Alligator mississippiensis: one gene and its partners. The protein of the gene in region 3 interacts with the protein of the main gene of each other region in a pairwise test. Links are inferred from orthologs where the notes say so. Each region holds a gene or a part of one and is shown on either strand. Other genes may lie near its edges.

Region 1 (3,751 bases), about 200 Mb from region 3:
ATTATGAAAACAGGTTATTCTAGATTTTTTTAAAGAGCTGTCCTTAAATAATTTTTAACATAATGTATTTTAAGGTGATATAACTAATTTGTTTGGGGTTTTTTAAATCTATGATATTAGGATAAAAGTTTGCTTTGTAGAGAACTTCAGAGTTCTATCATAACTGCTGTGTATTTTTAATGCACTCCTAAATTCTAACAGAAAATTATTGTTTTGAATATACTTATAGTTAAGTTTTCACTCCATTAGTCTTCAAGTCAAGTTTCATACAGTAGAGAGGGCATAGCACAACATGAACCTAGTTATAGGATCACAAAGACATGAAATAGTAACAGATCTCAATTAGAGTGCACCCATGAAAGACCAAATTTAACTAATTAATATATCTTGGTATACACCTCCTTGCATTTCTTTTGACCTTGTATATATAAATAAATCCATATAGGAAGATCCTGGTCTTTTCTCTTGAATTGGACATAAACTAAATCCACTCTTCAGACACTTGCATGTAGAAAGCTCATTAAGAGATTTGTGAGGGCACAAGTGATGCAGTACTACCATCTGTTTTCTAAATTAGGAAGACAGCATGCTGTGTGTATATGTGTACTACTACATTATTTGTCACTCAGATTTTAGAAATGCTCTTTTCAAAGTCTGTATTTATTCTAAATGTAAAAGTTATTCACCAACTCATAGCAATGCCCATAACTTAGCCAAGATTAACTAAATTCATGCTAACCTGTACTTTCGTAGGTGAATTTGGGGCCACCCCTTGATTCAGTCTCTCGGGAGTTTCTGGGATAGGGCTCCTCTGAATGGGGCTACTAATGATGCGTTTTGCCTAGGGAATTTAGACACTGTGAACAAGATCTCCTTGCCACTTGCTGCAGCTATAGAAACATTGAGGGCACTTGTTTTAAGCACGGTGACAAACTGGGTGGACACCACCAACTATATAAATACCTTTCTTGACCAGCACATTGTATTATGAGGATTTCTTAAAACAAAATGAAATTAATAAAATTATATTTTATATATTACCCCTTCTGCCCGCCCCCCAATGAATGCTCTTCCGAAAAATAGGTGTTGGGCTCCAGGATCATTTAGCTGAGCTTCCAACGTATTCCGTATCTCTGCAGCAACAATTTGTCCTACTTCCCAGAAATCTCTCAGTTTTTTCCAAGTCTTCTTTGCTTTTCACCACCACACATTTCACACTTCCCTTTCTCTCGTACTCATGATTTCCCTGATTATCAGGAAAGTTATCTAGCTTTGCTGCTGCTTAATGACAGTTGTAACATTCATCTCTGACCTCTCCTCTATTTCTCTATTCCCCTCCCTCCCTCCCTTCCTACCTTTCATTTTTAAGTATTCAGATAATTTTCTCTGTTTTATACACTGCTTTGCACATCTTTTCACAGGATCTGATGAAATGAACTTGGGCTCAGGAAAGGTTATGCTACATATACATGTATATACATGTGTGTATATGGGTATATATTTATCTGCACGTATATTTGTGCATGTGTGCGCATATATATGTGTGTATATGTGCGTGTGCACGTTACCTAGAGAGGTGGTGGAATCTCCATCCTTGGAGGTTTCTAAGGCCTGGCTTGACAAAGCCCTGCCTGGAGTGATCTAGTTGGGGCTGGTCCTATTTGAGCAGGGGTTGGACTAGCTGACCTCCTGAGGTCCCTTCCAACCCTAATTTTCTATGATTCTATGTTCAGCTTAAGGAAAAGGCGCTTGAGGGGGAACATGATAGCAGTTTTCAAATTCTTGAAAAGCTGCCATAAAAAAGAGGGAGAACACTTTTTATCTGTAGCTGCAGAGAGAAGGATGTGGACCAGTGGCTTGAAGTTGTAGGAAAGATGGTTTAGATTCGATATCAGGAAAAACTTCTTATCATTACAATAGTGAGGCAGTAGAATAGACGGCCTAGGGAAGCTGTGGACTCTCCATCACTGGAGGGGTTCAAGAAGATGCTGGACAGCCCTGGTTGGAGATGATGTAGGCACAGCCTATGTACTATGGGTATTTCCCATGCTTCTGGGCTTTGCTGCTTGCAGCAAGGGAATGGGAAGGAATTATGGCCTCCCCACCCCCTGTTTCTGCTGCATGCCAGGGCTTTATTTTTTAAGTTTTCCTTAAAAGCATTGGGTGTTGGCTGCAGCCATAGGTGGGGATTGCAACTGGGTCTGCCAGTGTTCCCGCTGAGACTTAAACCCAGACATTCCTAGCTAGTGGGTGTTGCCCCTCTGCGCAGGATCAAACTAATTGCTGTATTTGGGACCAGGAAGAAATTGTATCCCGTGCACAGATCGGTACAGGCTGGGGGGGTGGGGGGGGGGGGGGTTGTCTTCCTCTGAAGTGGGGACAAGGCCATAAGCAGGATGTTAGCTACTGTTAAGGCTAAGATTATGGATAGTGTAGGACGGTTTGGTTAGGGATGATCCTGTGTCAGGGTAGGGGGGGTGGGACTAGGTGACCTCTGGAGGCGTTTCCTGGCCTGACTTCTCTTTTTTTTTGGGGGGGGTGTACATGCCTGCACACACACACACACACACACACACACACGTGTACACATGCACAAGACATGTGCAGACGTGTATACATAAATACACACACATACATGTATATATGTGTGCCCATATGTACTGCAACAGCAATGATTTGGCTTGTGAGCTGCAAGTCTAGGCTGCCCCCGCCCCCAACCTTTCCTTAACCGTGCCGGTCGCCGCCCCCCGGGTTGGCAGGCCCGGTCCCTACCCCCGCCCCGGCACGTGGCCGGTTAAAGCGGCCCCCGCGGGGGCGGGGCGGTACCTGCTCCTCGGCGGCGACCGGGCCCTGCTGCCGCTCGTAGAGCGCGGCCGGCGCGCGGGTGCGCGCGTTGACGGGCGTGTGCAGGCAGGAAGCGACCAGCAGCGCGGCTCGGTGCGCCGCGTCCATGGCGCCGCGGTTGCCTGGGACGCTACGGCGGCGCCGCCGGGACAAACCCCCGGGGCGGGGCGGGCTTCCTCCTGCCCCCCGGGGCCCGCCTGCGTGGGGGCGGGGCACTCGGCGTCACGTGACCCTCCCCATTGAGCAGAGCGGTGGCGCCAGTGTGGGCTGCAGAGCGGGCTCGGGCAGGTCACTCCGCGGTTGGGGGCTTTTCTCCAGCTGAAAAGAACTGAGAAGTGCGGCGGGGCCGATCTTAGAGTTTGCGATTGTTTCGTTCCTAAGCCGTTGCTTCAATCAGGCTTTAACTCCTGAGGGGTGTTCTGTAAAACAAATTGGGCTGCCCATCACGCGGCCCTAGTGCAATCGGAGACCCCCGCCCCCAAGTTATGTTTTTCAAATCTTACAGGGGGGGCTCTTGTCTCCTGGGGGGGCCTCAGCCTCCTCAGATTCCCCATAAGCTCCCCAGCTTCCCCTTCGGTGACTTCCAGGGCAGCTGAGGGGAAAACCAAGAGTAATGGTCACAAACACAAACTTCAGGCTCAACACTAGAAAACATTTCTTCACAGTCAGTGTCTCCACACTGGAATAAGCTCCCTCCAGAGGTGGTGCGATTGCCCACCCTGGAAATATTCAAGAGACTGGAGGGCACCTTGCTGGGGTCACCTGACCCCAGATGTCTTCCCGGCTTGATGCAGGGGGCTGGACCCAGTGATCTTCAGAGGTCCCTTCCAGCCCCTTACAATCTATGACTTGAGCCCTGACTTCAATCCTCAGCTGTTACTCAGGTGAAGATTGAAGCTGAAAGAAA
Region 2 (3,751 bases), on a different chromosome or scaffold from region 3:
TTACAAAAGATCTGTAGCAACAGCATGGCATGAGCATCAGAACTTTGCTTTTGAGAGATGCTTCCCAGTTTTAAAAAAAATATGCAGAGGCAAGCAAAGGTCAAATAACAGAAAATTTATGGTTTTGTTACCCAATAGCTGAACTCAATTCATCTGTTGTTCCCAAAGCTTCAAATACTTGATCGTCTTTTGACCTCCTCTCACCTGTGAATGTGCTGGAAAATCCTTTAAAAACAAGCCACAAACATGAAAAGGGTTTGGAACAGACAGGCCCATGACTGGAACAACTCGTTGCAGTGGCACTAAGCTGGGGCCTGCAGAAGTGGCAATCTTAGGTCTGTGTTACAGATGCAGGAGGGGGACGTCTCTGCCTCTGTGTCCTTTAGAGACGTGCTGCACCCAATGCACTGGTATTTCTCTGGTATGCTTCTTCTACTTGAACCTCCCTAGACCCTCCATCGCTGACCCAAGGGTGGCTGTTCTCAGATGGCAGCCTTTTAAAAACAGATTTGAACGGGACACTGCAGAACAAGCAATTGGCCAGGGACTGCACTGCAGGGTTTAAACAGGGACGATGGATTCTCCCCCACCCAGTACCTGGATTCGTTTCAGTGAGTCCTTTTTTCCTACAGGTTTGCTAGTCTCTTCCAGCCCTACTCACGCCCCCTCCACCCCCCGGTCTTTGCTGTTCCAACTTCTCTCCCCTTCTTTTACTCTGCTTCCTGTGCATCTTCTCACCATGTCCCATACAAGTGAGCTCTAGTTCACAAAAGCTCATGCATAAATAAATATAATACCCATCATCTCCAGCTCAGGAAACCTTGAGTTCTCTCTCTGCCTACAGATTCATATAAATCTCTACCTTTAGATCTCTATAGGTAAAGAACACAAGGTTTCCTGCACTAGAGTTTAAATCAGTCTCTATCTATTGTCTCCAGGGCAAGAAACCACGTGCATGCTCTCTCTTGCACAAGGTTTTCTGTGCTGAAGACGATTCTCCTTCTCTGCACAAGGTTTCCTGTACTGGAGGTATCTATATACAGATTGGGGATAGATATGTAGATCCCTGTAGATACAGAGTACAAGGGGTCCTGTGCTGGAGATCATAGAAGTCGGGTCGGAAGGGACCTTGGAGATCTTCAAGTCCGACCCCCTGCCTGGGCAGGAGGGAAACTGGGCTCAAGTGACCCCAGCCAGGTAGGCATCAAGGCGCTTCTGAAAGACCCCCAGGGTAGGAGCCAGCACCACTTCCCTTGGAAGTTGGTTCCCGATCCTAGCCGCCCTGACTGTGAAGTAGTTCTTATGGACGCCTAATCTAAACCTACTCTCCAACAACTTGTGGCTGTTATTCCTTGTTATCCCGGGGGGCGCTAGGGGAAACAAGGTCTCCCCCAAACCCTTCTCTTGTGAGTTTATAGATGGTCACCAGGTCCCCCCTCAGCCTTCTCTTGTGGAGGCTGAACAGGTTCAGGTCCCGTCGCCTCTCCTCGTAGGGCCTGTCTTGCTGCCCCCTGATCGTGCGGGTGGCCTCCTCTGGCCCCTCTCCACGCTGGCCACATCCCTCCTGAAGTGCGGTGCCCAGACCTGGACGCAGTACTCCAGCTGCAGCCTGACCAGTGTCACATAGAGGGGGACGATCACCTCCTTGGACCTACGGATTAAATCAGTGTCTATAGGTAGATACATCTATATCATCTCCAGTGCAAGAAACCTTGTTGCACGCTCGCTCTCTCGTACAAGGGTTGCTGCACTGAAGATGATGGCTATCCGTCTTCTGCAGAGCCGGAAACCTTGTGCTCCGTATCTCTACGCTGATTAGACAGAGGTGTAGCTCTCCATAGGGCAGAACACAAGGTCTGTGCGCTGGAAATGAGACCTGTCCATCTCTTCCTCTCGTCTACAGGGGCAGGAGACCGTGTGCACGCTCCCTCTCGCTCCCCTGCACCAGATTCCCTGCACTGATTTATCTGTCTGTCCATTTATCGATCACCTCCAGCGCGGGAACCCTCGTGCTGCATCTCATCTCGACAGACCAGGGGTAGAGATGTCCATCCCCACACATGCTGAACGCGAGGTTCGTGTGCTGGAGACTCAGTCAGCCCGTCTGTACACAGGGAGCTCTCGACCGGCTCCAGCGCAAGAGCCCCCGTGCTGTCTCCCTCACAGCTCAATCACCAGAGATGATCTCCACCCCCCCCTCCATCATCCCCACTGCGGGACGCCTCGCGCACGCTCGCGGCCTTGCACACGGTTCCCTGTGCTGCAGACCCTATGGATGCACCAGCCTCTCCGGCCCCTCTGCCCCGCGCGGGGCCGCTACCTTTGTCCCCGGTGCGGGTGTAGACCCGCGGGGCGGGCCTGGCGGGCGGCTCCGCCCCGGCATCCGGCGGGACGGGCGCCCCGCTCGCCCGGCGGCACAGCGCCCCCGGGCCCAGCCGCCGCCAGCCCTGCCGCAGCGCCGCCGCCGCCATGACACCCGCCGACCCCTCTCGGCCGCCGTCGCGCTGCCCTCTGACCCCGCTCCCTCCTCAGGATTGGCTGGGCGGCCGGCGCCGCGCCCCTATTGGGCGGCGGCGCGGCCTATCGGGGAGCAGCCGGGGGGTGGGGCGCGTCACTGGAGCCCTACGGCGGCCGAGCCGCGTCAGTGCGGTCATGCCTCCCGAGGCGCTGGTGGTGTCGGCGCCGGGCAAGGCCATCCTGCACGGGGAGCACGCCGTGGTGCACGGCAAGGTACCGCCCCCCGACCCTTGACCCCGCCCCCCGCCCGCGACCCCTCCCCGCCCCGCCCCCGCCCCTGACCCCTGTGTGTGCGCAGGTGGCCGTGGCCGTGGCCCTGGACCTGCGCACCTTCCTGCGCCTCCGCCCGCGCCGCGACGCCCGCGTCCTCGTGGCCCTGCCCAGCATCGGCGTCCGCCTGGGCTGGGAGGCAGCGCCGCTCCGCGACCTCCGCGCCGCCCTGCCAGGTGAGCGCCCCGGGGTGGGGGGGGGAAGAGGGTTTTTTTGGGGATGGAAGGGGGTTTTTTCAAACCTATTTTGGGACCTTTTCAGTATCCAGGTGCGCGACCCGGCCCTATTCTGTTTGCTTGGCAGCAGCCCTGCTGACTGCTTGTGATAGAGATCAGTCACCTCCTTGCTGGAGCAACCGTGTTGCGCAACGCGCCCTCGCTCCCCGCGGCGGGTGGAGCGTGGGAGCCGCGGCAGGCGATGCTCTGAGCAGCGTGCGAGCGTCTCTCGAAGGGGGTGACGAGCGAGCCGAGATCCGGCCCTGCGGGAGGGGTGCGGCCCTGGGAGGGGGGTTGTGTCGGTGTCGGCACTAATGGGGCGTCGCACCAATGGCGAGAGGGTCCCGCTGCCACGATCGTGGTCGGGCTCACGCTGCACTGAGGGTTAGGAAGGAATTTGACCCCGTGGATTGGGGAGCGGGGGGGTCAAACGCCTTCCTCTGTCAGCGGGGCACGGCCTGTGCTGGGATCTCTTGAGCGCGTCGTCGAAGCAGGGCGCTGCGGTTCCCCTGTGGCAGGCGGGGGGTGATGTCTTGTGCCGTGTCGGGGTGGACGGTAGTTTTGCTAAGAGGTTAGACTGGGTTTGTATAGGCTGGTTTGGGTGGGGATGGTCCTGCCCCGCGCAGGGGTTGGACCTTGGGAGGTTCCTTCCACGCCACTGCTGGGCAAGGCTCTGGTCCTGGGAGCCGCAAGCGCATTGGGGCCACGGTGTCAGGGGGCGGCTTGGTCCAGAGCTGGGTGGGAAGGAG
Region 3 (3,751 bases):
TCTACCTGAATTTGAAGAGTTTTGGAACTTCTAAAATTGCATTTTTCCAGCAAAGAGATGATTTGCTGAAAAAATTCACCCAACTCTAAGGAAAACAGTACACAGAAATATTAAGAAAAAGCAAAACATGCAACAAATATACATTAATCCTTGTTGTAATTACTAATTCAGAAGAATCAGGCTTTCTTCTTTTGATCAGTACCCATTACTGGGCCATTCTTGTTTTCATTAACTGATCTCTTAAACATTTCAGCTGAGATCTGCTTTAGTAGGTCCCATGTTCTTGGTTCTCCAGCAGTTCAGGATCACCCATTTCAACCATCACCTTCCCTAAGGTGACCTGCTATCATTTAGCACACTTTAGCTCCCTTCTCTCAAAGGCCAAACACAAACTCCATGCAAGGAGCTATTTCCCCACTCTCTATTGTAGAATACTTGAAAATAAACATAATGCTCCCTGGAGAGTTGCCATAGTGATTTGTGATGCTGTTGTGTTGTCTGAGATTAAATAGAAGTCAGAAGGGAAAAAAATTACAGTGACAATTTCTATACCTAAGTTTATCGTCTTTGTATAACTCAAAAATAGCTGAAGTGATTTACCTCCAGGTGATTTACCTCTAAAACAATAACAATCACCTGGAGGCTGCTGCAAACTTGGTAGTTTTCATCTGAAAAGAAAGTAACTGTTATGTTTGTTACTCTGGCACACTAATTAGATAGCATTTTATTCTGCCTTTAAAGATGTAGCATATAACATAAAATCAAATAATTAAAAATGTAAAGACGTGGAGGTGGATATAATATGGCATATAAGATAAAATCAGATAATAAAAAAAGAAGGCTCTGGAGGTGGACATAGTAGCTATAGATAATGACTGCAGGTGTGATGGATAGATGCTCTTGGCATTCTTTTAAATCAGATTTAATGCTATCCTCACTCTTTTAACTTGCAGTCAAAGAAAGACTCCAGCCGCCAAGTTTACGTTAGAAAATAATTCCACATCTCATACTGGATAGGAGGAAGTTATTTTGTCAACTTCAGCATCAGTTAAGCACTAAATCTAATTTGAATATCTTAGGTGGGAGAAATCATTATCTCGAAGGTTAGTGTTGAGAAAAGAATTTTTTTAACTGATTTCAAGATGTTATATGAGAATGGAAAACAGGAGGATGACTTGAGACAACTTGGCTTGAGAGAATTAAACTGCTGGACTTTTTATATGGAAAAATAAATCATTTTTGTTAAAAACACACGCAAGCATAAATCTGGAAAAATCAGAAATGATCTTCAGAAACTGTAGTGAGACCAGTTGAAAGTAAGACTGTAGCAGCAGAAAACTCAGAGACTTTGGATGCCGCCACAGCCTACCCAGGCTTAAGAGATGTTGCCTTTCACCCAAATCATTTGTAGTGTTACAGTATCCAAGCACAGCCAAGAGGTCTATGTCATAATGAGGATGACACGTTACTCTTTTATTGCATCCACTGGTTTGAAAACAATGGTCCTGTACATGGCCATGTTGAAAATCTAGTTTGAGGAGGGAAAGCTGAGGCAGCTTTTGGCATCTTGCCTCAACATTGATGTATCATAGTTGTAAAACCAATTGACTGTTTTGATAAGAAAAATAAAAGGAACAGGACATCACTGGACTCATATTTTCACTCAGGTAAGCAAATTTACACAGCATTATTGAAGAACATGATACAATTTGATCTTATATAAATTTGCCTACACAAACTCTACTTCCAAACTTCTTACAGGTTTAAAAGATATAGAAATAAATAAAAATGGTACGATAAGTTAAATGAAATAAAAGGTCTTCACAAAAGAAAAAAGATAGATGCAGTTCACTACAGCAAATAGCTTTGGTTTTGCCTTGATGAAAACCATGGGACTTAAACCTGGGAAAACCAGAGTAACACAGTGATCAATCAACTACTTGTTTAGTGAGATTTGAAAAGAGATGGAAATCAGTAAGATGGAGAGACACGAAAAGGATAGTTCAAATAACAGCAACTGTAGATGAGAAGGCTTCTGGTAAAGATAGTTAAATGAAGTCAGGTCTAGAAGAGCATGGAGGGGACAGTGGAAGGAAAGGGCAAAGATTGACATGGGAAGACTGAACAAATATATGGAGTTTTAAGAATGAAAGGGGCAATTTTGGATTTGACCTGGAGATAAATAGGGCCTTGAGGGAGGATAGCAGTGAGTTTGACTTAGATATTAAGGGCAGGGTGTTAGTCTGCCAACTTAAAATGAGCACATTTTCTTGATGCTGATAGAACTCTGTGGGATTTTCAAACCCCAGGGCCAACATTTTCAGACTTGGATGTTGAGGTTAGACTCATATATAGCCTTTAAATAGATACAGGCCAGATTTTCATATGCTTTGAGACACTGTCTAGGGCAACTGTCCTTACTTAGTCTCTTCCACTTATTACTGTATTTTGAGATGTGCTAGGAAAACTGTGGGGAGCTTCCTAGAGTTGGGGGTGGTGGGTCAGAAGTGTCCAGCCCTCTCAGGCAGAAGGGCTGGCAGAGAGCAAGGACCTTGTGGGTGAGAGCTTAGCTGTGTGATGAGGGCTGCAATGACCCTCTGGGGAAAGGGGTGGCAGGCTTTGAACATTATCTTGTATGGTAATAAACCATGTCCAGCAAGGGAGAGATATTGCGAGAACACTTTTTTGGCGTGGGATGAAAGGTAAGCTGAAGCAGGGGAAGTACTTAAGGCCAGACTGGGTGGGAGCCTGCTATAGTCCCACCTATAGTAAGAAAATCACGTTAAGCCACCAGCTGACACTGACTTGTGAACAAGCATGCAGTAGGAGACATAATTTGCTCCAAACAGGGATTTGTTAACAATTGCCTGAAAATGCAGAGGACTAGATTTGATGAGCCATGAGACACCTTCCCGTCGTATGTTCACAAGTGATTTACCATCAGATATGTAAAAAATTGTTTCAGGAAGAGGTGGATGGGTTAGGGAGGAGAGGTAGGTAAGGAGTGTTTCTAGAAATGGGCTGTTATGAAGAATTTGATGGGACATGTGTTTGGCATTTTCAAAAAAACACATGATAGAAGATGCAAAGAGAAGAGTGAGAGAAGAGGAGAATAGTGCAGTGACAATGCGGAATAGCAGGAAAAAATGAAAACAGGAGAGTATCACCATGTAAGAGAGTAGGAAGGAGAGTATGACAAGCTTCTAAATTACAATTACTCTTCCACTGCCAAAAGTGGTTGTGCTTAGGCATCTCATAGAAATATGAAGATTACGTTCCTGCTCACAATCTGAACTGACAGGACTGGATATAGTAAGAGACAGGGAATTAGAAGTGTGTGAGTAGAGCCAGGTGAAAGTTTACAGTCAAAACCTTCTTTGCTTGCAAGATTTCTTTGCAAGGCAGATTTGTTCTTTTTTTCCTTCAAAGGTTTAGTCTCTTCATGAATTTGTGTCATTAGCTTAATGATTTTGGTCAAAAAATGTGACAAAAACATGTTGTTTCACCATTGTCAATGTGTAATTCATAGATTCATAGATTCATAGATGTTAGGGTCGGAAGGGACCTCAATAGATCATCAAGTCCGACCCCCTGCATAAGCAGGAAAGAGTGTTGGGTCTAAATGACCCCAGCTAGATACTCGTCTAACCTCCTCCTGAAGACCCCCAGGGTAGGGGAGAGCACCACCTCCCTTGGGAGCCCGTTCCAGACCTTGGCCACTCGAACTGTGAAGAAGTTCTTCCTAATGTCC

The links. The genes of interacting proteins can lie anywhere in the genome.
Region 1: the proteins of CBY2 (region 3) and FAM161A interact in binary tests that used the Homo sapiens proteins (3 or more experiments, as listed by UniProt). The two-hybrid records come from large-scale screens. The link is inferred for Alligator mississippiensis from reciprocal best matches to the Homo sapiens genes CBY2 and FAM161A.
Region 2: the proteins of CBY2 (region 3) and MMAB interact in binary tests that used the Homo sapiens proteins (3 or more experiments, as listed by UniProt). The two-hybrid records come from large-scale screens. The link is inferred for Alligator mississippiensis from reciprocal best matches to the Homo sapiens genes CBY2 and MMAB.

Annotation. Positions count from the first base shown.
Region 1 is NC_081824.1:212,487,016-212,490,766, forward strand, and holds the start of FAM161A (protein FAM161A), read right to left. Parts: upstream 2,998-3,751; 5' UTR 2,953-2,997; coding exon 2,827-2,952; intron 1-2,826. UniProt on the Homo sapiens protein: Involved in ciliogenesis.
Region 2 is NC_081833.1:5,119,177-5,122,927, forward strand, and holds the start of MMAB (corrinoid adenosyltransferase MMAB), read right to left. Parts: upstream 2,487-3,751; 5' UTR 2,472-2,486; coding exon 2,321-2,471; intron 226-2,320; coding exon 132-225; intron 1-131. Other genes in the region: MVK (mevalonate kinase), read left to right, coding at 2,653-2,730, 2,816-2,963. UniProt on the Homo sapiens protein: Converts cob(I)alamin to adenosylcobalamin (adenosylcob(III)alamin), a coenzyme for methylmalonyl-CoA mutase, therefore participates in the final step of the vitamin B12 conversion.
Region 3 is NC_081824.1:411,420,748-411,424,498, forward strand, and holds the start of CBY2 (protein chibby homolog 2), read left to right. Parts: upstream 1-1,495; 5' UTR 1,496-1,667; intron 1,668-3,751.